6 linked regions of the Macaca mulatta genome follow. The protein of the gene in region 2 interacts with the protein of the main gene of each other region in a pairwise test. Links are inferred from orthologs where the notes say so. Each region holds a gene or a part of one and is shown on either strand. Other genes may lie near its edges.

The links.
Region 1: the proteins of ERBB2 (region 2) and HDAC6 interact in a protein complementation assay, tested with the Homo sapiens proteins (2 studies listed by BioGRID and IntAct, with this or other methods). The link is inferred for Macaca mulatta from reciprocal best matches to the Homo sapiens genes ERBB2 and HDAC6.
Region 3: the proteins of ERBB2 (region 2) and FGFR4 interact in a protein complementation assay, tested with the Homo sapiens proteins (2 studies listed by BioGRID, with this or other methods). The link is inferred for Macaca mulatta from reciprocal best matches to the Homo sapiens genes ERBB2 and FGFR4.
Region 4: the proteins of ERBB2 (region 2) and GAPDH interact in a protein complementation assay, tested with the Homo sapiens proteins (2 studies listed by BioGRID and IntAct, with this or other methods). The link is inferred for Macaca mulatta from reciprocal best matches to the Homo sapiens genes ERBB2 and GAPDH.
Region 5: the proteins of ERBB2 (region 2) and PDGFRA interact in a protein complementation assay, tested with the Homo sapiens proteins (2 studies listed by BioGRID, with this or other methods). The link is inferred for Macaca mulatta from reciprocal best matches to the Homo sapiens genes ERBB2 and PDGFRA.
Region 6: the proteins of ERBB2 (region 2) and EZR interact in a protein complementation assay, tested with the Homo sapiens proteins (2 studies listed by BioGRID and IntAct, with this or other methods). The link is inferred for Macaca mulatta from reciprocal best matches to the Homo sapiens genes ERBB2 and EZR.

Annotation. Positions count from the first base shown.
Region 1 is NC_133426.1:48,883,169-48,886,668, forward strand, and holds part of HDAC6 (protein deacetylase HDAC6), read left to right. Parts: intron 1-735; coding exon 736-820; intron 821-929; coding exon 930-970; intron 971-1,715; coding exon 1,716-1,812; intron 1,813-1,956; coding exon 1,957-2,054; exon of another isoform or gene 2,055-2,109; intron 2,110-3,500.
Region 2 is NC_133421.1:64,070,491-64,073,990, reverse strand, and holds part of ERBB2 (receptor tyrosine-protein kinase erbB-2), read right to left. Parts: coding exon 3,428-3,500; intron 2,966-3,427; coding exon of another isoform or gene 2,864-2,965; intron 2,713-2,863; coding exon 2,552-2,712; intron 1-2,551. UniProt on the Homo sapiens protein: Protein tyrosine kinase that is part of several cell surface receptor complexes, but that apparently needs a coreceptor for ligand binding. Essential component of a neuregulin-receptor complex, although neuregulins do not interact with it alone.
Region 3 is NC_133411.1:186,050,394-186,054,682, reverse strand, and holds the start of FGFR4 (fibroblast growth factor receptor 4), read right to left. Parts: upstream 2,801-4,289; 5' UTR 2,616-2,800; intron 2,274-2,615; exon of another isoform or gene 1,688-2,273; intron 442-1,687; 5' UTR 389-441; coding exon 298-388; intron 1-297. UniProt on the Homo sapiens protein: Tyrosine-protein kinase that acts as a cell-surface receptor for fibroblast growth factors and plays a role in the regulation of cell proliferation, differentiation and migration, and in regulation of lipid metabolism, bile acid biosynthesis, glucose uptake, vitamin D metabolism and phosphate homeostasis.
Region 4 is NC_133416.1:7,484,595-7,488,600, forward strand, and holds the start of GAPDH (glyceraldehyde-3-phosphate dehydrogenase), read left to right. Parts: upstream 1-1,206; 5' UTR 1,207-1,249; exon of another isoform or gene 1,250-1,341; intron 1,342-1,518; 5' UTR 1,519-1,535; coding exon 1,536-1,564; intron 1,565-3,239; coding exon 3,240-3,339; exon of another isoform or gene 3,340-3,362; intron 3,363-3,420; coding exon 3,421-3,527; intron 3,528-3,649; coding exon 3,650-3,740; intron 3,741-3,830; coding exon 3,831-3,946; intron 3,947-4,006. UniProt on the Homo sapiens protein: Has both glyceraldehyde-3-phosphate dehydrogenase and nitrosylase activities, thereby playing a role in glycolysis and nuclear functions, respectively.
Region 5 is NC_133410.1:79,224,984-79,228,483, reverse strand, and holds part of PDGFRA (platelet-derived growth factor receptor alpha), read left to right. Parts: intron 1-962; coding exon 963-1,156; intron 1,157-1,975; coding exon 1,976-2,070; intron 2,071-2,285; coding exon 2,286-2,418; intron 2,419-3,500. UniProt on the Homo sapiens protein: Tyrosine-protein kinase that acts as a cell-surface receptor for PDGFA, PDGFB and PDGFC and plays an essential role in the regulation of embryonic development, cell proliferation, survival and chemotaxis.
Region 6 is NC_133409.1:77,632,686-77,636,185, forward strand, and holds part of EZR (ezrin), read right to left. Parts: intron 2,590-3,500; coding exon 2,426-2,589; intron 2,064-2,425; coding exon 1,933-2,063; intron 1,117-1,932; coding exon 956-1,116; intron 592-955; coding exon 499-591; intron 1-498. UniProt on the Homo sapiens protein: Probably involved in connections of major cytoskeletal structures to the plasma membrane. In epithelial cells, required for the formation of microvilli and membrane ruffles on the apical pole. Along with PLEKHG6, required for normal macropinocytosis.

The sequences.
Region 1 (3,500 bases), on a different chromosome or scaffold from region 2:
AGGAGATGGGGTCAGAGAGGTGATGGAGAACAGACAGTTTTGGGCCTTCTGGGCATGGGAAATACTTTGGCTTTTACTCAGAATGGGATGGGAGCCTCAAAAAAAAAAAATGGGACATGAACTGATTAGGGTTTTAACCAGTGTCTGGCTGTCATGCACAGAAAGGACTGTTGAGGTGGCGAGGGTCGAAGCAGGGAGGCCGAGGAGATGCCACCACAGCCCAGGCAGGAGGGTATAGTAGTAGCAGTGGCAGTGGTGAGGAGAGGGTCACACTCCAGAGCTGATGGAAGGCAGGACTGACACCACAGTTTTGTTTTGTTTGTTTTTTTTTTTTTGAGACAGAGTCTCACTCTGTCTCCCAGGCTGGAGTGCAGTGGCCGGATCTCAGCTCACTGCAAGCTCCGCCTCCCGGGTTTACGCCATTCTCCTGCCTCAGCCTCCCGAGTAGCTGGGACTACAGGCGCCCGCCACCTCGCCCGGCTAGTTTTTTGTATTTTTTAGTAGAGATGGGGTTTCACTGTGTTAGCCAGGATGGTCTCGATCTCCTGACCTCGTGATCCGCCCGTCTCGGCCTCCCAAAGTGCTGGGATTACAGGCTTGAGCCACCACGCCCGGCCTCACACCACAGTTTTGGGGTAAGCAGCTGTGGAAGGGTGGATGGGGAGATGTGGAGAGAGCAGATGTGGAGCTCCCCAGTGTCCCCATGCATCTGTGACTGTGTCTCCATCTCCCCAGCTTCCCGGAAGGCCCTGAGCGGCTCCATGCCATCAAAGAGCAACTGATCCAGGAGGGCCTCCTAGATCGCTGTGTGTCCTTTCAGGTAAGGCCCCCAAGCCAACACTCTGGGTAAAGGGCAGGGAGCTGACCTGACCTGGGCTCAGCCCATGCCTTAACCCTTTATCCCGCCTTTATTCCTCATCTCTCCCCAGGCCCGGTTTGCTGAAAAGGAAGAGCTGATGTTGGTTCACAGGTGAAGGCTTGGGAGCCTTGTAGGGATGGGGAGGAGCCTGCCCTGGACAAACCAGGGCAAGCTAAACGCTTTGGGAAGGAATGTCATGGTTTCTGTGGCCAGCCTTGGGCAAGTCGCTGAGCCTCTCTGAATCTATGTCATCGCCTGTAACAAGGGAACCAGTAAACTTAAGTTCCTCAGGAGAGTTCGATGTGTGTCAGGTGCTTAGAACAGGGCCTGATGTATCATCAGTCCATCATGAGCTATTACTGTTATCATGATCTGATTGAACAGATGGTGGATGTGTGGACAGAGTGATCGGTTGGATGTGTGGATGTGTGGACAGAGTGATGGTGGGTGTGTGGACAGTTTCCCCAGGGGCTGCAGGAACCCAGATTTAGAGGCCTGGTGCTGTGTGGCTCGAGGAAAGCTAGCTTGGCAGAGTGGGTATCTGAGCTGAGCTTTAAGAGGAGAAAAAGAGTGAGTCAGATGAAGAGGGTGACTGAGGGAAGGGAAGAACAGACAGCTAGACAAGAGTGGCCAAAGGCCTGAAAGTAGGATTTGGTATGGCTAGAGCAGGGGAGCAGAGAATATTACTGGAACTGAGGCGGGCTAGGGAAGAAACAGAATGTATCTTAAATCCCGGCTATTCCTTCAGGTTGACAGTTGGGGGAGCCGAGCCCTAATTTGACCAGGGGTTTGGTGTGTGGACGGCTCAGGTGGGGAAGAGACAGGGCCCTGAATCTCATCTCCCATCTGTGTCTAGCCTAGAATATATTGATCTGATGGAAACAACTCAGTACATGAATGAGGGAGAACTCCGCGTCCTAGCAGACACTTACGACTCAGTTTATCTGCATCCGGTATGGATGAGAACTGTGGGGGCAGGGAATGGTGGCAATCTTGGGGTCCCTATCCCTATGCCCACCCCACCCTGGGGCAAGCAGCTGAGTGGATAGGGCTGTTCTCTCCCTCACTCCCTCTCTGGCTCCCCACTGTCTCTCCAGAACTCATACTCCTGTGCCTGCCTGGCCTCAGGCTCTGTCCTCAGGCTGGTGGATGCGGTCCTGGGGGCTGAGATCCGGAATGGCATGGCCATCATTAGGTAGGACTCTCCAGCATTTGACTTTTTACATTGTTTTAAAGTCTTTCCTTCAAGTGTAAAATGTATTGATATGGGTAATATATTCATGTGATTCAAGAATCCAAAGGTACAAAAGAGAATATAATTAAAAATCTGTCTCCCATCCTTGTCATCCAGACACCTGCCTCCTCTCATGGGAGGTAGTCATTGGAACCACTGACTCATGTGTCCTCCCACAAAGTCTTATTCAAGAAATAAATACCATATTTCATTGATTCTAAGGTGTACATTTTTTCATATCTGTAACATCTTGAAATCCAGATGCATCTTACAAACAGTGACATCTCAGAATTCCATTGGCAGTATTTTCTGCTTTGTTTTTGGCATGTAAAATCATGGTACATCTTATCATCGTTGGCATCCCAGAATTGATGAAATGCAAAAGGTTTCTCCTCCCTCCCCTGTTTTTAACCACAAATGGTAGTAACACGACATACTCCCTTCGTACCATCTTTTCACTTACACATCTTGGAAACCTTTCTCTGACAGCATGTATCTTGGAGCCCGGTAGAACACCATTGTGTAAATGTACTCTTTGTTAATCAGCTCCCGACTAATGGGCATTTTGGTTCTCCTCAGTCATTTGCTGTTTTAAAAAAAATGCTACAGCAGGCCGGGCGCGGTGACTCAAGCCTGTAATCCCAGCACTTTGGTAGGCCGAGATGGCTGGATCACGAGGTCAGGAGATTGAGACCATCCTGGCTAACACACTGAAACCCCGTCTCTACTAAAAAAATACAAAAAACTAGCCGGGCGAGGTGGCGGGCGCCTGTAGTCCCAGCTACTCGGGAGGCTGAGGCAAGAGAATGGCATAAACCTGGGAGGCGGAGCTTGCAGTGAGCTGAGATCCGGCCACTACACTCCAGCCTGGGCGACAGAGCGAGACTCCATCTCAAAAAAAAAAAAGAAAAAATGCTACAGCAAATATACTAGTACCTTTATAAAAATAAAATGTTATTTTATACTAACATAAAATAAAAATGTTACTTCACCCTTTTTAAAATACAGGTTGTGGGCTAAGTTCCTGCAACAGAGTGACTGGGTTTGAGAATGTATGCATTGATCATTTTATTTTTATTTTTATGTATTATTTATTTTTTGGAGACGGAGTCTTGCTCTGTCACCAGGCTGGAGTGCAGTGGCGCAATCTTGGCTCACTGCAACCTCCGCCTCCTGGGTTCAAGTGATTCTCCTGCCTCAACCTCCAAAGTAGCTGGGACTACAGGCGCCCGCCACCACATCTGGCTAGTTGTTTGTATTTTTAGTAGAGACAGGGTTTCACCATGTTGGTCAGGATGGTCTCGATCTCTTGACCTCGTGATCCACCCGCCTCGGCCTACCAAAGTGCTGGGATTACAGGCGTGAGCCATCATGCCCGGCCTTTATCATTTTAATGAACATTTTCAA
Region 2 (3,500 bases):
TGATACGACTTCTCCAGAGAACGGTTTGGCAACACCTACGAAATATTATCTATGATGCAGCAAATTCTCCTCTGAATACAGACCGTACATATTGCTTGCAAATGCTTTTGTCACTTAACAGAATCTTGCAGTGTTTTTCCATGTTCTAATACCGTGATCTGGATCTAGGATCCATATGGATCTGGACCCATATTCTCTTTTTTTTTTCTTTTCTTTTTTTTCTCGAGATGGAGTTTCGCTCTGTTGCCCAGGTTGGAGTGCACTGGTGCAATCTCGGCTCACCGCAACCTCCGCCGCCCAGGTTCAAGCAATTCTCCTGTCTCAGCTTCTCAAATAGCTGGGATTACAGGTGCCCACCACCACGCCCGGCTAATTTTTGTATTTTTAGTAGAGACGGGGTTTTGCCATGTTGGCCAGGCTGGTCTTGAACTCCTGACCTCTGGTGATCTGCCTGCCTCGGCCTCCCAAAGTGCTGGGATTACAGGCGTGAGCCACTGCACCCAGCCCGGACCCATATTCTTTTAATTTTTCTCATTTAGTTGTCTTTAAATTGAAACGCATGAATACATCCTTGTGATAAACATTGCCAGCACTATATACCCTAAAAATGCCAATGTGTGGACACTAGGGGGCATACAGAAGAATGCTCACTTGTGTATGGAGCTCAATTGCAATAAACTGCGAAAACAGGGAAACAAGCTCAATATCCCTCAAAAACAAAGTGAAATTACATCCATGTTATAGGTTGAATAATTAAAAAAGAATAAAGATGGTAGATCTGTCTGTACTCACAAGAAAGGATACCTCAAGTCGGAGGGAAAGTAAACTGCAGAATAGTATGAAGAGAATGATCCCATTTACATTACAAAATGTACACGCACACAAATCTGATGACAAGTGGAACTATATGAAATTGCTGTTTCTTGACCTTTTTTTTTTTTTTTTTTGAGACAAGAGTCTTGTTCTGTCATCCAGGCTGGAGTGCAGTGGCACAATCTAGGCTCATTGAAACCTCCGCCTCACGGGTTTTCTCCTACCTCAGCCTCCCGAGTAGCTGGGATTTCAGGTGTGCATCACCATACCCGGCTAATTTTTGTATTTTTAGTAGAGACAGGGTGTCGCTACGTTGGCCAGATTGATCTCGAACTCCTGATCTCAAGTGATCCGCCTGCCTCAGACTCCCAAAGTGCTGGAATTACAGGTGTGAGTCACCGCGTGCCCATTTTTGGTTTACACAAACAGCAATCTTATTTGACTCAACCTAATATAAATGTAGTGTGTCTATATAAGTGTGCAGAAAAGAGCCCAGAAGGATGAACACACAAGTCAATGCGGTGGTTCTCCCAGCCCACAGGAGAGGCTGGGTGGACAGGGAGTTGAGTGGTTTTGTAACATTTATACTTTTATGTTACTGAAAATGTTTATCACAAGGATGTATTCATGTGTTTCATGTGTAAAGACAACTAAATAAGAAAAATTAAAAGAATAAGGTAGATCACCATGTTAGAACATGGAAAAACATTTCAAGGTCCTGGAAAGTGAGAAAAAGCAATTTGCAAAAACAATATGAACTATGATTCTATTTGGTAAAAAGAAATATATGACTGGGCATGGTGGCTCACCCCTGTAATCCCAACACTTTGGGAGGCCGAGGCTGGCAGATCACCTGAGGTCAGCGGTTCAAGACCAGCCTGGCCAACATGGTGAAACCCCATCTACTGAAAATACAAAAATTAACTAGGCAAGGTAGCATGTTCCTGTAATCCCAGCTACTCAGGAGGCCAAGGCAGGAGAATTGCTTGAACCCAGGAGGTAGAGGCTGCAGTGAGCCAAGATTGCACCACTGCACTCCAGCCTGGGTGACAGAGTGAGACTCCATCTAAATATATATATATATATGTGTGTGTGTGTGTGTGTGTGTGTTAGAACGTGCACAGATAAAAATAACTGGAGAATAATATTAATGTATGTTAACTTATATATACATATTAGAATGTGCACAGACAAAAATAACTAGAGGAAAAATATTTCAAATTATTAACAGTGGGGATAGAACTGCTAGGGCATTAATTTATATTTCATGTTTTAATTTTACCATTTTAACAATGTGTTATTTTTATTTTTATTTTTTTTGAGATGGAGTCTCGTTCTGTTGCCTAGGCTGGAGTGCAGTGGCGCAGTCTCAGCTCCCTACAAGCTCCGCTTCCTGAGTTCATGCCATTCTCCTGCCTCAGCCTGCCGAGTAGCTGGGATTACAGGCGCCCACCACCACACCCGGCTAATTTTTTATATTATTTAGTAGAGACGGGGTTTCACCGTGTTAGCCAGGCTGGTCTCAAACTCCTGACCTCAGGTCATCTGTCCGCCTCGGCCTCCCACAGTGCTGGGATTATGGGCGTGAGCCACCGTGCCCGGCCCCAACGATGTGTTATTTTTGCCATCAGAAATAAGATATGATAAAGGGAGAGTTGGTCCCCTTTTATAGTAAGAGCCCCAGAGAGACCCCTGAAAGGAAAGTCCTCCTTTCTGCAGAAAAGACCCTCAGACTCACGAGTGGGTGCAGTTGATGGGGCAAGGCTGGCACGTGCCCTCCTCATCTGGAAACTTCCAGATGGGCATGTAGGAGAGGTCAGGTTTCACACCGCTGGGGCAGCGGGCCACGCAGAAGGGAGGGTCCTTATAGTGGGCACAGGCCACACACTGGTCAGCCTCCTGGGAGGGGCAGAAAAGGTTTGTAGGGGGCTAGCACTGACACCCCCAGGGCAGTAGGATCAGGCCCTTAGTTGGGTCCCCTTTGTGCTTCCCAAGGCCACCCAGCAGCAATTTTCACCATGCTCCTGGGACAAACACCTCTGCTCTTCACCCAGTCTCTGTGGACCCTCCCTCGGGGCCCTCCTCCAAGCTTGATCCTGGGCGGGGACTTGAGCCAGAGAATGGGAGGCACCCAGAGAAGAAAACGCATTACCTAAGGTGTAACAGCGAGTAACAACAGTCACTGCTGCATAGAAAGCCTTTCCCGGGCTTCACTGTGCCAAGCCCTGTTTAATTTCATTCTCACCACACCCCAGCAAGGTAGGTACTATTACAATACCCATTTTAGGAATAAAACACCAAGGTTGGAAGCAGGACCTGGGTCTGAATCCAGGTAGTCTGACGCCTGAGCCCGCAGGGCTAACCACCCTAGCACAGCCACAGCCACAGCCGCAAACGCAGACCTCCTTAGAACCTTTTCATAGTCTGAAGGGCCCCAGGGTCCCCCGGGCCCCCTTTCCTGCCACTCTGCTGCTGTTCGGGTCTGAGTGCTGAGCCCTCTCCAGGGATATTTTACCAGACGGCACACCCTGCCGTGTCTCGCCATCCTGCCAAGTCCCTGGCAATCCCCCTCGCTGCACCCCTCCACCCAGCTCTGAGCCCGCCAGCAGCTCACCGGTCCAAAACATGTCACTGAGCCATTCTGGGGCTGACACTCAGGGTGGCACGGCAAACAGTGTCTGGCATTC
Region 3 (4,289 bases), on a different chromosome or scaffold from region 2:
AGAACACACACACACACGCGCGCGCGCACACACCCAGGCAAGGAGCTCACCACCAGCTCTGCGGCCCAGCTTAGGGCCCTGCACCCTGCGAGGCCAGTCCTCTCTCGCAGACACAGAGATACATGGATGCTTGCTGGAAGCCAGGCACTGACTGAGTCTCAGTGGTTGAGCCCTGCCCTGCTGCCACTTTCTCAGGGCCTGGGCAAGGATCCTTTCCAGCTTTGCTCAGCCCAGCAGCCCCCTCCTGGTGCCCACTCTTCCCACCCCTGCCACCCTCTCCCCCCTCAGAAGCCATACCCAGCTCCACTTCCTCCGAGGCCTCCAGGGACAAGACTGGAGGCCCAGGCACACTCAGCAGGACCCCCAAGAGGGCCGACAGCAGCCGCATCTCCTTCCCGCAGCTCTCAGGGGCCCAGGCTGGACTTCCCACCAACTGCCTTCCTAGAATAGGGGGGGAAAAGAGCTCCTGCTCCACATGCACCTTTGCGGGGGCTTTCCCTTATTTTGCAGATGAGGAAATGGAGACAGGAAGTGGCCAGTAGATGTGTCCAAGTCCCTGGCCAGGCTGTGGCAGTGCAGACTGGAACCAGCTCTGCTGTAGCCAGAGCCTGATGCCTTCCTACAGTAGGTTGTGCAAGGGGTCTGGGCTGGGCTTCCTGCTCTCCTTGAGTCCTGCTGGGACCCTGGCACACGTTCACAGAAAGCAGTTTTGGGATTCTTTTCTTGGAGGGAAGCAGAGAACGGAGACTATCTTCTGCATGCTCTTGGCACACGTAATTTATTTTTTGCTGAATAAATGAATTGATTGCCGAAGAGCCAAAAAACAAAGTGAAAAATGATACAAGGCCAAACTTCAGCATCTGGATGTTATCTGATCCAATCCCCACTCCTTATAGCATTACTGACATTTCCAGAGCTGGGCGCCCACCACTGACAAGGCAGCTCCTTCCGTAGCAAGCAGGACCGCATCCCTGAATACCTCTGCTTGTCATGCACCAACTCCATCCGAGGTACACACGGTTTTGTAAAGAATACAGACCGTAATTATCCATCCACCAGAGCCAAGTTCAAATCCCGACTCTCATCAACTTGTAATTCCTTGTCTCTGTCTCTCTCTGGGTTACTATCCTCATAGGACTGTTTTGAGGATAGAAGAGACAACGTGCATCGGCACTGGGCACACAGAGTGTTGGAATGTTCTTCTCCCTGTGCCCGGCCCTAGAACTGTTCACCTGTTGCCCTGGGTCTGCCCTCAGCCAGTCACCTCTGGTTCGGGTGCTGTTACTGTCAGGCTGTGATGTACACACACCCCAGCTGGCTATCCTCTTCCAAATGCTACCAAGGACACCTCTGTTCCCCAAAACAGAACACTCAGAACCGAGTCTCAGCTGGGACAAAGGAATACTGTGATCACTGCAGTCCTAGGGGCCTATGGGTGGCACTGGTGTCTCTGGATCTACCCTGTGTGGGAAGCCTATCACACCTCCTTACCCTTGCTCACTGCCACTCCACTTCCAGTCCATCTGGCTTCCCCTGCCCTGACTCAGGGCAGGTCATGGCCATCTCTTGCATGGGCCTTTGGAAACATCCTCTCCCTGGGCTCTTCAACCTTCATCTTCCAGCAGAGTTTTAAAAAACTACAAGTCTGCCATGTCATGCCCCCAGCTTGCAAGCCCTTAATGGTTACCTGTGCCCAGCAGGATTCAGCTCAGCATCCTAGGGCTCCCTCTGTTCCGCTGCCTATCTCTTTGGTCACACCGTCTGTCCCTTCAGGAGCGCTGAAGCCATTGGCTCTCAAAACTGGTCACATATGCTCTCTTGCCCATCCCTCTGTGCCCCCCATTCCTCTTCTCTATTTGACTCAGATACTGCTGTCTCTGAGGCCACTTCAACTCTCAAATCCAGTTGGATCCCCCTTGGTAAAACCCCCTACCAAGCTCGGCTTGGCAGGGAGGGCAGCTCTTTGAGTACACAGCTTGGGCTGGGAGTGGCTGGGGAGGCCCGGGGATTTTATTCCTACCCCAGGCTGCCCTGATATCAGAGTCCGTGGAAAAGTCACCCGTGGCTGCTGACCGCTGACCGACCACCCCACACGTGGGAACAGAGGGCCTGCCTTAGGCATCAGACAGCCTCCCGCACTCGCGGTGGAGGCCCCCGGGCGCTAAGTGACTGAAACTTTCGGGGCCTCAGCTCCCTCATCTCTGCCGCCGGCGCGAAGACAGCCGCAGGGACAAGCTTGTCCTCCCCCACCCTTGCCGGGCCAGCCTGGGGGGAGGTGCGAATCAATGGGTCCCGAGGGTAGCTGCACAGGGCCGGCCTGCCCCCGCCTCGGTGGGCAATGAGTAACCAGCTCCGCGGCCAGGGTGCTCTTTGGACGGAGCGGGACAAAAGGCCCTGTGTGCACTGCGGGTTACTGATTTACCGCCCCCTCCACCCCCTGCCGCCCGGCGGACGCCCAGGTCCCCTGCGCCGGGAGGGGCAGTCCCTGCAGCCCCGCCGCCGCTCGCCCCCTGGCGGCTGGGAGCGCAGCCCGGGCCCGCAAGGGTTCCGGCTCACCTCGAGCCTGCGTGACTCCGCGCCCTGCACAGGGTCCTGGTCGCCTGCCTCCTACTCACCTGGCTCCTCTGCCGCCTCACTCCCAGCTCCAGCCGGCCGCGACCCGTGCACCCGGCGGGGTCCGCAGACAGCCCAAGCGCTCCTCAGCCGGGAGCAAGGAATGTACCCGCGACGGCGGCGTGGCCGCGGGCGGCCCACCTCCTGCCCCGCCCCTCGGGCCCGCCCCTCCTGCTCGGGCCCGCCCGCCTCCTGCCACGCCCCCTCGGGCCCACCCCTCCTGGCCCAGCTCGAGCCGGAGAGAGGTGTGGCCGGCGGGGGAGGTGGCCAAGAGCCCCGCCCACCTGGAGACCCGCCGCCGACCCAGTCAGCCCACTCCAGGGACCCCGCCCCAGCCTATACACACACCCCTACACACACCCCCTATACACACCCCATTCAGGCTCCTCCTCTTTCGCCCCACCCAGGCTCCAGGCCAGGCTTCTAAGTTCTAGTCCACTACCCAGCTCTACTGCTTGCTTTTCACCCCTCAGGGAATGCCTGGCTCCCCTGTCTTCTGCGCAGTACCGTGCAGTGGATAGGAGAACCCCTTCCTTCGGCTCCCTCATTTGTTCTCTGCGCAACCTGGGGAGTGATACTTACAACACAAATCTGACTGTGTCAGCCACTCCCTTAAATTTTCCTATAGCTTCCCATAGCTCTTTATACATAGATTATTGCCATGACCCACGCCTCCTGGCTCCCTGCTACTCCTGGGCAGTTTCAGGTACCATTCCCTCTTCCTGGAATGCCCTTTGGTCTGGTTAATTTTATATTATTCTCAGCTCACTTCCTCCAGGAAGCCCTCCGGACTTGCAAGCTCCTCTTAGATGACTTCTCTGTTGTGAGGATGGAGAAAGAAGCAGAGTGAAGTGGTTCAGAGCACAGACTACAGGGCTGGACGTCATAGGCCCAGCTCTCAGCACCATCACACAAGGCCTCGGTCTTCACTGTCTTTTCAGTGAAACAGGCAAATGATAGTCTCACCCTCAAGAGGTTGTTGCAAAAAGTAGACATGTGGCTGGGCGCGGTGGCTCAAGCCTGTAATCCCAGCACTTTGGGAGGCCAAGACGGGCGGATCACGAGGTCAGGAGATCGAGACCATCCTGGCTAACCCGGTGAAACCCCGTCTCTACTAAAAAATACAAAAAACTAGCCGGGCGAGGTGGCGGGCGCCTGTGGTCCCAGCTACTCGGGAGGCTGAGGCAGGAGAATGGCGTGAACCCGGGAGGCGGAGCTTGCAGTGAGCCGAGATCGGCCACTGCACTCCAGCCTGGGCGACAGAGCGAGACTCCATCTCAAAAAAACAAAAAGTAGACATGTTAGCAGTATATGTAAGCCTGGCATGCAGCGCTTGCTTTGTAATACTAGTGAAAGGACACAAAGATAGATGTGTACCCGCCCCCCACCCGCTACACCCTTGTTCTGCTCTCTAATCTTTGCACATACCAGAGATTTCGTAAGTTCTGTGAGTACCTGGTTTTCTGCACGTACCAGAGATTTTGTTTTGCACATACCAGAGGTTTTGTAAGTTCTGAGGCAAGGTCACAAGACGTGTTTAAGTAAGATAAACTCTTGCTGCCATAAACCTGCTCTCCCGCCTCAAAGTTTGAACCAAAATATCAGAAATGGCGGGAACCAATCATAGTTAGCCAAATCGCCTTGTTCAAACACTAGCCAATCATATATCTGATTTG
Region 4 (4,006 bases), on a different chromosome or scaffold from region 2:
GGCCACCCCACCCCACCCCCTTCCTTACAAGTGTTCAGCACGCTCCCATCCCACACTCACAAACCTGGCCCTCTGCCCTCCTACCAGAGAAATGGATACCCTGTGGGAAGGGGCAGGGGGCCTGTTCCCACCATGTGCCCAAGACCTCTTTTCCCACTTTTTCCCTCTTCTTGACTCACCCTGCCCTCAATATCCCCCAGCGAAGCCAGTGAAGGGGAGTCCCTGGCTCCTGGCTCGCCTGCACGTCCCAGGGCGGGGAGGCACTTCCGCCCTCACGTCCCGCTCTTCGCCCCGGGCTGGATGGAGTGAAAAGCACACTGTCTCTCACCCTAGGCAGCACAGCCCACGGGGCTCCAGGAGTGACTTTGTGGGAGGCCTCTGGGCCCCCACCAGCCATCCTGTCCTCCGCCTGGGGCCCCAGCCCGGGGAGAGCCGCTGGTGCACACAGGGCCTGGATTGTCTGCCCTAATCATCAGGTCCAAGCTACAGGGCTGCAGGACATCGTGACCTTCCGTGTAGAAACCTCCCCCTCAAGCCGCCTCCCGAGCCTCCTTCCTCTCCAGGCCCCCACTGCCCAGTGCCCAGGCCAGGCCTCGGTCCCAGAGAGGCCAGGAGCCAGGAGATGGGGAGGGGGAAGTGGGGGCTGGGAAGGGCCCACGGGCCCCTCCTAGCCCTTTGCTTCAGCTATTCCGGTGTCACTACCGCAGAGCCTCGAGGAGAAGTTCCCCAACTTTCCCGCCTCTCAGCCTTTGAAAGAAAGGGGAGGGGGCAGGCCGCGTGCAGCCGCGAGCCGTGCAGGGCTCGGGCTCCAATTCCCCATCTCAGTCGCTCCCAAAGTCCTGTTTCATCCGTGCGTGTAAGGGCCCCCGTCCTTGACTCCCTAGTCTCCTGCTGCCCACACTCCAGTCCTGGGAAGCAGCACCGATCACCTCCCATCGGGCCAGTCTCAGTCCCTTCCCCCCTCCGTCGGGGCCCACACGCTTGATGCGTGCCCAGTTGAACTAGGCGGCTGCGGAAAAAAAAAAAGAGCAGGGAGAAAGCAGGGCCCCGCTACTCGCGGTTTTACGGGCGCACGTAGCTCAGGCCTCAAGTCCTTGGACTGGGACTGGCTGAGCCCGGCGGGAGGCGGGGTCAGAGTCACCGCCTGCCGCCGCGCCCCCGGGTTTCTATAAATTGAGCCCGCAGCCTCCCCCTGCGCTCTCTGCTCCTCCTGTTCGAGAGTCAGCCGCATTTTCTCTTGCATCGCCAGGTGAAGACGGGCGGAGAGGAGCCCGGAGGCTAGGGACGGGCCTGAAGGCGGCAGGAGCGGGCGTGGGCCGGACGTGTTCGCGCCGCTGCGGGGTGGGCGCGGGCCAGGGTCCGGGTCCGGGCCCGGGCTGCCTCCGCATTGCAGGGGCGGGCGGAGGACGTGATGCGGCGCGGGCTGGGCATGGAGGCTGGTGGGGGGAGGGGAGGGGAGGGGAGGCGTGGGTGTCGACCGGGACCACTAGGCGCTCACTGTTCTCTCTCTCCGCGCAGCGCATCCCTGAGACACCATGGGGAAGGTGAAGGTCGGAGTCAACGGGTGAGTTCGTGGGTGGCTGGGGGGCCCTGGGCCGCCCGCAAACTGCGTCTACGAGCCTTGCGGGCTCCGGGTCTTTGCTGTCGTATGGGGTAGGGTAGCTGCGTCCGGCAAGGAGAGCTCAAGGTCAGCGCTCGGACCTGGCGGAGCCCCGCACCCAGGCTGTGGCGCCCTGTGCAGCTCCGCCCTTGCGGCGCCATCTGCCCGGGGCCTGCCTTCCCTAGTCCCCAGGAACAGGAGGTCCCTACTCCCGCCCGAGATTCCATCCGACCCGGACCCCTAGCTGGGGACGCTTTCTTTCCTTTCGCGCTCTGCGAGGTCACGTGTCGCAGAGGAGCCCCTCCCCCATGGCCTCCGGCACCGCAGGCCCCGGGATGCTAGTGCGCAGCGGGTGCATCCCAGTCCGGAGGCTGCGCCTGCGGTAGAGCGGCCGCCATGTTGCAACCGGGAAGGAAATGAATGGGCCGCCGTTAGGAAACCCTGCCGGTGACTAACCCTGCGCTCCTGCCTCGGTGGGTGGAGTCGCGTGTGGCGGGGAAGTCAGGTGGAGCGAGGCTTCCCGGCCCCTGCTCTCAAGTCGGCCCCTGAGCTGCAAGCCCTATTTCCCCTCCGGGTGATGCTTTTTCTAGATAATTCTCTGGTAAATCAAAGAAGTGGGTTTATGGAGGTCCTCCTGTGTCCCCTCCCTCCAGAGGTGTGGTGGCTGTGGCTTGGTGCCAAGCCGGGGGGAGCTGAGTCATCGGTAGTTGGAAAAGGACATTTCCACCGCAAAATGGCCCCTCTGGCGGTGGCCCCTTTCTGCAGCGGCGGCTCACCTTATGGCCCCCCTCTTCCCCTGCCAGCCTAGCGTTGACCCCACCCCAAAGGCCAGGCTGTAAATGTCACCCGGAGGATTGGGTGTCTGGGAGCCTCGGGAAACCTGCCCTTCTCCCCATTCCGTCTTCCAGAAACCAGATCTCCCACCGCACCCTGGTCTGAGGATAAATATAGCTGCTGACCTTTCTGTAACTGGGGGCCTGGGCTTGGGCCGTCTCCCATCCCTTCTCCCACACACATGCACACACCTGTGCTCCCACTCCTGAATTCTGGAAAAGAGCTAGGAAAGGACTAGAAGCTTGCAAATTAAAGCCCTGGGACTAGGGGGTTAAAAAACAACTTCCCCTCTTCCCCCGGCCCAATCTCTGTCCCTTTTGTAGGCGGGTCTTAGAGAAGGGGTGGGCTTGCCCTGTCCAATTAATTTCTGACCTTTATTCCTGCCCTTTGAGTTTGGTGATGCTGAGTGTACAAATCTTTTCTCCTTAAACGGTGCAGTTTGAGGCTGAGCTAGGCAGCAGCAAGCATTCCTGGGGTGGCATAGTGAGGTGCTGAATGCCACGTGCAAAGCTTGTGCCCAGACTGTGGGTGGCAGTGCCCCACATGGCCGCTTCTCCTGGAAGGGCTTCCTATGACGGGGGGTGTTAGGCAGCAGTGGAGCCTTCAGTTGCAGCCATGCCGTAAAGCCAGGCCAGCCTGGCAGGGGAGCTCAAGGGAGATACAATTCACCTCTTAATGGAGGTAAGGAGATGTTGGGGGTAAGGAGATGCTGCATTCGCCCTCTTAATGGAGAGGTGTCCTAGGGCAGCTCACATACTGTGGAGAAGCCTCCCCTCCTCATGCCTTCTTGCCTCTTGTCTCTTAGATTTGGTCGTATTGGGCGCCTGGTCACCAGGGCTGCTTTTAACTCTGGTAAAGTGGATATTGTTGCCATCAATGACCCCTTCATTGACCTCAACTACATGGTGAGTGCTGCCCCAAAGCTGATGTGGGAGGAGCCACCTGGCTGCCAGGCAGCCCCTTCACACCCTTGCGTATTCCCCCAGGTTTACATGTTCCAGTATGATTCCACCCATGGCAAGTTCCATGGCACCGTGAAGGCTGAGAACGGGAAGCTCGTCATCAATGGAAGCCCCATCACCATCTTCCAGGAGTGAGTGGAAGGCAGTGGGAGAAATGTGCTGTGGGGGGCAGCTAGGGTGGTGCGGCTCCCTTGGGTACATGGTAACCTCGTGTCCCTCAATATGTCCTATCCCTGTCTCCCCCACCCCATAGGCGAGATCCCTCCAAAATCAAGTGGGGCGATGCTGGCGCTGAGTACGTCGTGGAGTCCACTGGCGTCTTCACCACCACGGAGAAGGCTGGGGTGAGTGCAGGAGGGCCCGCGGTAGGGGAAGCTGGCTCAGCCCTGCAGAGGCAGAACCCGGGTTTATAACTGTCTACTTCTCTGCTGTAGGCTCATTTGCAGGGGGGAGCCAAAAGGGTCATCATCTCTGCCCCCTCTGCTGACGCCCCCATGTTCGTCATGGGTGTGAACCATGAGAAGTATGACAACAGCCTCAAGATCGTCAGGTGAGGAAGGCAGGGCCAGTGGAGAAGCGGCCAGCCTGGCACCCTGTGGACACGCTCCCC
Region 5 (3,500 bases), on a different chromosome or scaffold from region 2:
CCTTGACACAAATGATGTCAAATACATTTTACTTATTGACTATAAGATAGGGTTGTGGGTGTGATAGCTTCAGGGTGTGTATCTTTTGTCACAAATAGCTGTAAGGAGAAGGTCCATGGCTTTCATTAGACCTTCAAAGTGTCTCCAATCTAAAAAAAAGAGTGAATTTTAAGAACCACTGTCCTAAGAAGATTTTTACTACCCTGGCTCACATACCTTATTTGGTGAACTTTGTTTGGTGGTCGGACTGCATGTAAACATAAATGTGACTGCTTAGTCCCTTATCTGCCCACCTGCTGTTTGGTGGGTTAATTCGCCAGTGCCTCCTCCTTCCTCCCAGTTCTCAGCCTTCTTAAATGGGCACGTGAGCGGTGTGTTTACACTTCATCCCTGGTAACTGGTTGTGTTCAGAAGCCTCAGTTGTTTCTTCCTCTAGACAGAGACTCCTCATCTTAACTTCTCCTAGGGCTAAGGATGGACTTGGATGTTGACTGGAGTTTCTAGTAGATTCCAGTGTGGAGCAGGAATCTAGCTCTTATAACTCAATCAGAGGATCATCGCAACCCTAGTGACACCTTAGGGGCTCTTCCCAGAGTGGGTGTTGAGAAGGAAGGGTTCCAGGCCTTTTTGAAGGTGTGGGAGATTGAGATAATTAAATATGGTTGAAATTGAACTGTTCACTTGGCTCATGGTTCAAGATTGGGGAATGGTAGTCATATTTTATTAAACTTGTTTATCTCTGCCTGCTATGTAAACACTTTCAGTTCATGTGTGAATTATGCCCTCTTTAGCACATGCAGACAAGTTTTAATGTTCATCTGCATGTAAAATAAATCAGTGTGTAGTGCCCCAAAATGTAGACAAGATCCCAACACCTTGCCATCTTAGAGTGTTCCCTTGGCTCCACTCATTGCCATGACTCTCAGGAATTGGCCCTATACTTAGGCCCTTTTTCTCTCTAGATGTAATAATGAAACTTCCTGGACGATTTTGGCCAACAATGTCTCAAACATCATCACGGAGATCCACCCCCGAGACAGGAGTACCGTGGAGGGCCTTGTGACTTTTGCCAAAGTGGAAGAGACCATTGCGGTGAGATGCCTGGCTAAGAATCTCCTTGGAGCTGAGAACCGAGAGCTGAAGCTGGTGGCTCCCAGTGAGTTCCTCAACAGTCAGGACAACTCATCAGCTGAGCCCCATTTCCCCCAGGCGGAACTTTGAATCCCAAATAGGAGTCATATAGAAATGAAGGTCCCAAGGCAGAAATTCAGTTATGAATGCTCTTAAAGGCAGGCATGTGGACTTTGCTTTATTTTGTTTTGTGTTTTGAGACAGAGTCTTGCTCTGTTGCCCAGGCTGGAGTGCAGTGGCACAATATTGGCTCACTGCAACCTCTACCTACGACTTTGTTTTAGATTCAGATCCAAAACAGCATTTTGCAGAGGCTCCTCAACATTTTGCTTGTCTAATAATATAGCTACAGTTTCTACTTTGAATGTCTGTGTATGTGGATGCAGTGTGGGGAAGAAGGATCTTCTGTCTCATTGCTCCTTAAAAGATGGATGAAGCCAAAAGCAATATAAGCAAAATGCAATTTACAAAATAAGCTTTATAATAAAGCATATGAAGTAGAAGTGTCTGTCCATATAGTAGCTGTCAATTGCATTTATCCATCTTTATTTTTCCTATTCAAATTCTGTCCACAAGGTTACTGTTGGAGCAACTTTGGAGAAAATACTGAGTTCTCCTGATTGAATTTTGTCCCCTTCTTGTATAAGGAAAGAGTTGATGTAGTTTCCTGGGTGTAGATAGTTTGAGAGATGGTACTTCCTATCCCTAAAATGAACCAGACAGCCCTCACATTTCCCCACCAGCAGTGAGAGATTCCTGGCTCAGACACAGCCACACTACCTTGCTGCCCCCATGCATGTCTGCCAGGAAACTTTTCATTGTACCTCTCTCTCTTGTCACGTAGCCCTGCGTTCTGAACTCACGGTGGCTGCCGCAGTCCTGGTGCTGCTGGTGATTGTGATTATCTCACTCATTGTCCTGGTTGTCATTTGGAAACAGGTAGATATTTTCTTATAAAACTAAAGATCTTTGAAGCCAATGAGAACAAGAACAGCAACCTGGCTCAGTGCTTGGCACAGAGAAGGAGCTTAGTAATTATATGTGGAGTGAACGTTGTTGGACTCTACTGTGTCCAGTCACTGTGCAGCTTCATTGAAGCTCTGGTGCACTGGGACTTTGGTAATTCACCAGTTACCTGTCCTGGTCGTTTATAGAAACCGAGGTATGAAATTCGCTGGAGGGTCATTGAATCAATCAGCCCAGATGGACATGAATATATTTATGTGGACCCAATGCAGCTGCCTTATGACTCGAGATGGGAGTTTCCAAGAGATGGACTAGTGCTTGGTAAGTTCCATGGGGTGACATCCCAAGACTCCCTTTTCCCTTGCACACAGCTTTACAATTTATAGGCCTTGGCAGAATAGAGACCTGAGCTTGTGCTTAGTAAGAACTAGGCAATAGAAATTTGCTTTCAGAAATACATTTCTGTCTTGACAATGAGTTAATTGGATCACTGCAATGATTTTTTAAAATCTCGTTCCATAACAAATTATAGTTAAGGAAAATTTTACAAAGGGAGAAGAGAATATGAAGAGGGCTGGCAAGGATACCCACCAAAATTGCTTTGCTTTAGAAATGACACGAATTGAAAATGAGATGAATTTCTGTGACTAAAAATGAGCAGATGAGAAATGAATGAGGACAACCACAAAATGTGTTTTGATTCAGTACGTTTTAAAGATGCATTAGATACTCCTTTTTATATATTTGGAATATGGAATATAAAAATATAGGTACATTTTAAGGCAAAATATGTAAAAATAAGCAAGCCAACTTACCACAAGCATTTCAAATATTTCAATCCTGGGCTAAGACCAAGAATATGAAGCTTTAGTCCAAGGCAGTATTTCTTTTTTTAAATCACACTCCTAATGAATGAAAGCAAGACAAAGGCAAATGAAAGTATAGGTAGAGGCTGTGTTAGGATGAATGATCTAACAGTATATATGTTAAAGAATGCCAAATGCAGGTTTTAATTACTTACCTGTCTCATTCCACAATACAGAAGTCTGCTTGGAGAGTTACTTAAACTGAAATCAAGCAAGGCAGCAGAGTGAAATCACCTTTCCAAAAGTTGCAACTGAGGAAATTATGACAGTGAATGAGATATGATCTAACCAACTCCATCAAGTTGTCCTTGTTCCTTCCTGGGCATAGGCCAAACTAACTTTGAGAGGAACTTATTTTATAGTTTGACTTTGAAAAAAAGACAATAATAGCCCTTTGCCAAACCCTCTTCTTGCCTGGGAACTAGACTGCCTTTGTGGGACTAACAAATTAGCTACAAGATTAGAAAGCACGGTTTAGGGGTCACTGTTGTGAAACCTGAGGTCAGTGCTTGAGATATTTTGGAGATCCTGTATTTT
Region 6 (3,500 bases), on a different chromosome or scaffold from region 2:
CATCTCTTTGGGGATGTCTTTTTTTTTTTTTTTTTTTTTTTTTTGAGACGGAGTCTCACGCTGTTGCCCAGGCTGGAGTGCAGTGGCGCGATCTCGGCTCACTGCAAGCTCCGCCTCCCGGGTTCCCGCCATTCTCCTGCCTCAGCCTCCTGAGTAGCTGGGACTACAGGCGCCCGCCACCGTGCCCGGCTAATTTTTTGTATTTTTAGTAGAGACGGGGTTTCACTGTGGTCTCGATCTCCTGACCTTGTGATCCGCCCGCCTCGGCCTCCCAAAGTGCTGGGATTACAGGCTTGAGCCACCGCGCCCGGCCGGGGATGTCTACTTCAGTAATACAACTGGTATCGGCAGAGGATCGTGAGACTCCCAGAAGCTTCCAGTAGGACATGGCAGCTGAGCCAAACCTCTCCCCCAACCCACCCACCTGCAGAAGGGCCCACTGCCCAGGCAGTGGGCAACAGGTGCCGTGGCCGTGCGGCTTCCCCCATGCAGACTCACCCTGTGCTGCCACTCTTCAACCTCATCCTCCTTGCGCCTCCGCGCCTCTTCCAGGAGGGCAATCTTGGCAGTGTATTCTGCAAGCTCCGCAGCCTGGGAAGGGAATGCCAAGCTAAAGTGACTTCTGATATCCTTTCAAGAGTCCAGTTGTGAATGAGTGTTAATGTGTGTTGGTGAGCAGCCTCCACTGTGACATCTGAGTCCCCGTCACCCCCACTTCATGGCTAGCAGGGTTCATCGTGCACCCTCCCTACCATCACTTCCTGGATGCCCACACCCACCTTCAACGGGTGACCCTGGCAACAGCCCGGCCCCTTCCCCGCCAGCTGCTTCATTCCCCAGCAGATCAGCTTACAGCTTCCAGTCATGACAATTATTACAAGGCAGGTGTCACATTTTCCATCCTCAGAAGCAGCCTCTCTATAATTCAGCATCTTGAAACTCAGGCCATTCCTACCAGCTGCTCCTGGCTCTTTATCTGATCCACCGCCTGTCTCTCCAGCTCCTCCTTAGCCCGCAGCGCGGCCATGCGGTCAGCCTCTAGGCGCTCAGCCTCCTCCTGCGCCCGCTTCCTCTCCTCCTCCAGCTGCAGGGCCCTCTGAATCTGCTCCGAGAGCTCTGAGAAGACACAAAGCCAGAGCCGTTCAAGCCCTTGGCCCAGGAACCTAGGCGCCTTCGCCTTCGCCTTCCATTTGCACCCCCAAAGCCACAGAGCCCTAGACCAAGTCACAGGTCAAGGGGGGATGTCTTCCAGTGACCCTGGAGGAAAGCACTTCACAGCTCATTGCTGTTGTTTGCATGACAACTTCCTCAAGATGGCTAGAAACCCATCCAACGTGGTGGGCCAGGCACCTTCTGGCATGCCTGACTCAACCCTCTTGGCGTTAACTCTCCCCAGGTCAGCCGCCCGCTGTGCTGGTGGCCCACACTCCACTCAGAACACAAACACCCTTCCCATCTGTGCTAAGGGCTGCCAGTGAACACAGCATCTGTGGCACCTTATGTAATCAGCCCAGCTGCTGGGGTTGTCGACTGGAGCTGTGCTGGGGAGTCTGGTTCTGAAGAAGCCTTTGGGTTTTAGTCTAGAGGTCAATGACAGTGCAACATGGCCCTGTCACTCATGGGCTGTGGGACTGTGGGAAGATCACTGTACCGCACCAAACCTTACTGTACTCATCAGGGAAACTGGGTGATGGAGCACTTACTGCAAAGGACTAGGGAAATTTTAAAATACAATGTCTTAGAACAATGAGCACCAAAGTTAATGAACTACAGAATTGTTTTCCAAACCAAATAACTATTTTATCATTTCGGTTGTGAGTCTGCAGTGTGGGACATGTTCTTGGTTTCCTTTCCAGTGGTTGGGTGGGTGTGGCCCCCGCCCCTGTGGAAATGCATGACCCAGTGTAGAGAGCCAGCCCCAGGGCGCCTGACCTCTCTCTGCCTTCTTGGTCTTCTCCTCATAGTCCTGCAGCCGCAGCATCAGCTCCTCCTTCTCACGCATCATCTGCTCTTTCTCTCTCTCCACAGTTTCTCTCCTTTTCTTCTCTGTTTCTAGCTGTTGCCTGGTGCAGGGAAAAAGAGGCACAGGGAGATTTAGACTGGCAGGAAAGTGAGGGGTCAACACACTTCACGGGTATGTGCAGCTCCAGGATGGACTTGGCATCCTGAGGGCCACCCTGGCCTGCCACCAGCCTGAGCTGCCTGAAGGAGCAGCCACTCCAGGGCTGACACCAGACTCAGCACCACAGCAACCTCCCAGAGACAAAGGCCTCGAAGATCCCAGTGTGGCGACTGAGTTCCATTCCACCAGGCTCTCCCCATCAGCTGCGCGGTCACCTGACAGGCACTGGCTGCCTCAGCAGGCAGGGCTGGCGGTAGCTGAGCTGGGAAAACACAGGCCCCTGCTCTGGCCTCCCACGCTCACCGCTCCAGCTGCTTCTGATGCTTCTCCTCCCGGGCCTGGGCCTTCATCTGCTGCACCTCGATGGTGTCGGGCTTCCTGCGGCGCATGTACAGCTCGTGGTTGCCCATGCAGAGCTGCAGGATCCGCTTGTTAATTCTCAGGCGGGGGGCATAAAACACAAAGTCCTACAAAACAGAACAGGGCCACCTGGACTTAAGCTCCTTTGTTTGGTTTTCTTCTCCCAAACCATACTTCACAAAGGTCCGGAACTTTTCTAAAAGAACAAATGTAGCAGAACAGGGATGGCAGCGTCTCAGCACTGGAAATGTGCATTCTCCAGGACGGGTGGAGGAAGGGCATGTGCTGCGTGTGTGTGCAGTTACATGTGGGTATGTACATGCTGCATGCACACTGAAATCCCGCTGCACGTAAACTGCAAAGCTTTTCCAAGGTGAGAACTCTCAGCCTTGGGAAACCCTTCAAGTCTCAGAGCTGCCTGCTCTTCCAGGTAGCCACCTTTCATGATGTCCTCTCCAGCCTCACTGCTCCGTCCCCAATGCTTGCCTGGATTGCCTCTGCTTCTATTTGAGCTTCCTCTGGCACAGCCTCCCCTCCCACACTGTTATTGCTATGCTGACCACCCTGACCTTCAATGCCAGCCTAGGAGCTCCAGGATGAGCTCCAGGGCCTGGGCCCAACACACATGGAGACCTTTTGACTCTGGGCCCAGCCTCCCATGTGCTCTCGGTTCTCTCTCAATGCTGTCCAGCCCTGCTCCTGCACCTGCCACACCTGCTACAGGTGCTCGCCACAGTGGCACTGTTGCTTCACTCCAGTGACTCCTTTCAGCATCTCACTCCTATGAGGCCATCAGCTCCTGAGAGCAGGGGCCACATTCACTCATCTCTATCTTCCCAAGGTCAATATTTGAGGTGCTCAGTACCTGCCAGACATCACCAGCTCGTGCGGCACAAATAGCCATGTGCAAGCTCCATAGCCTTGAGCACATCCCTTCATCAGGCTCAGGGCCTTCAACCATAAGGCGGGGATGCCAGTGTATCAAGGGACTTCAGATATGGGACTCAATCCTCCCAGC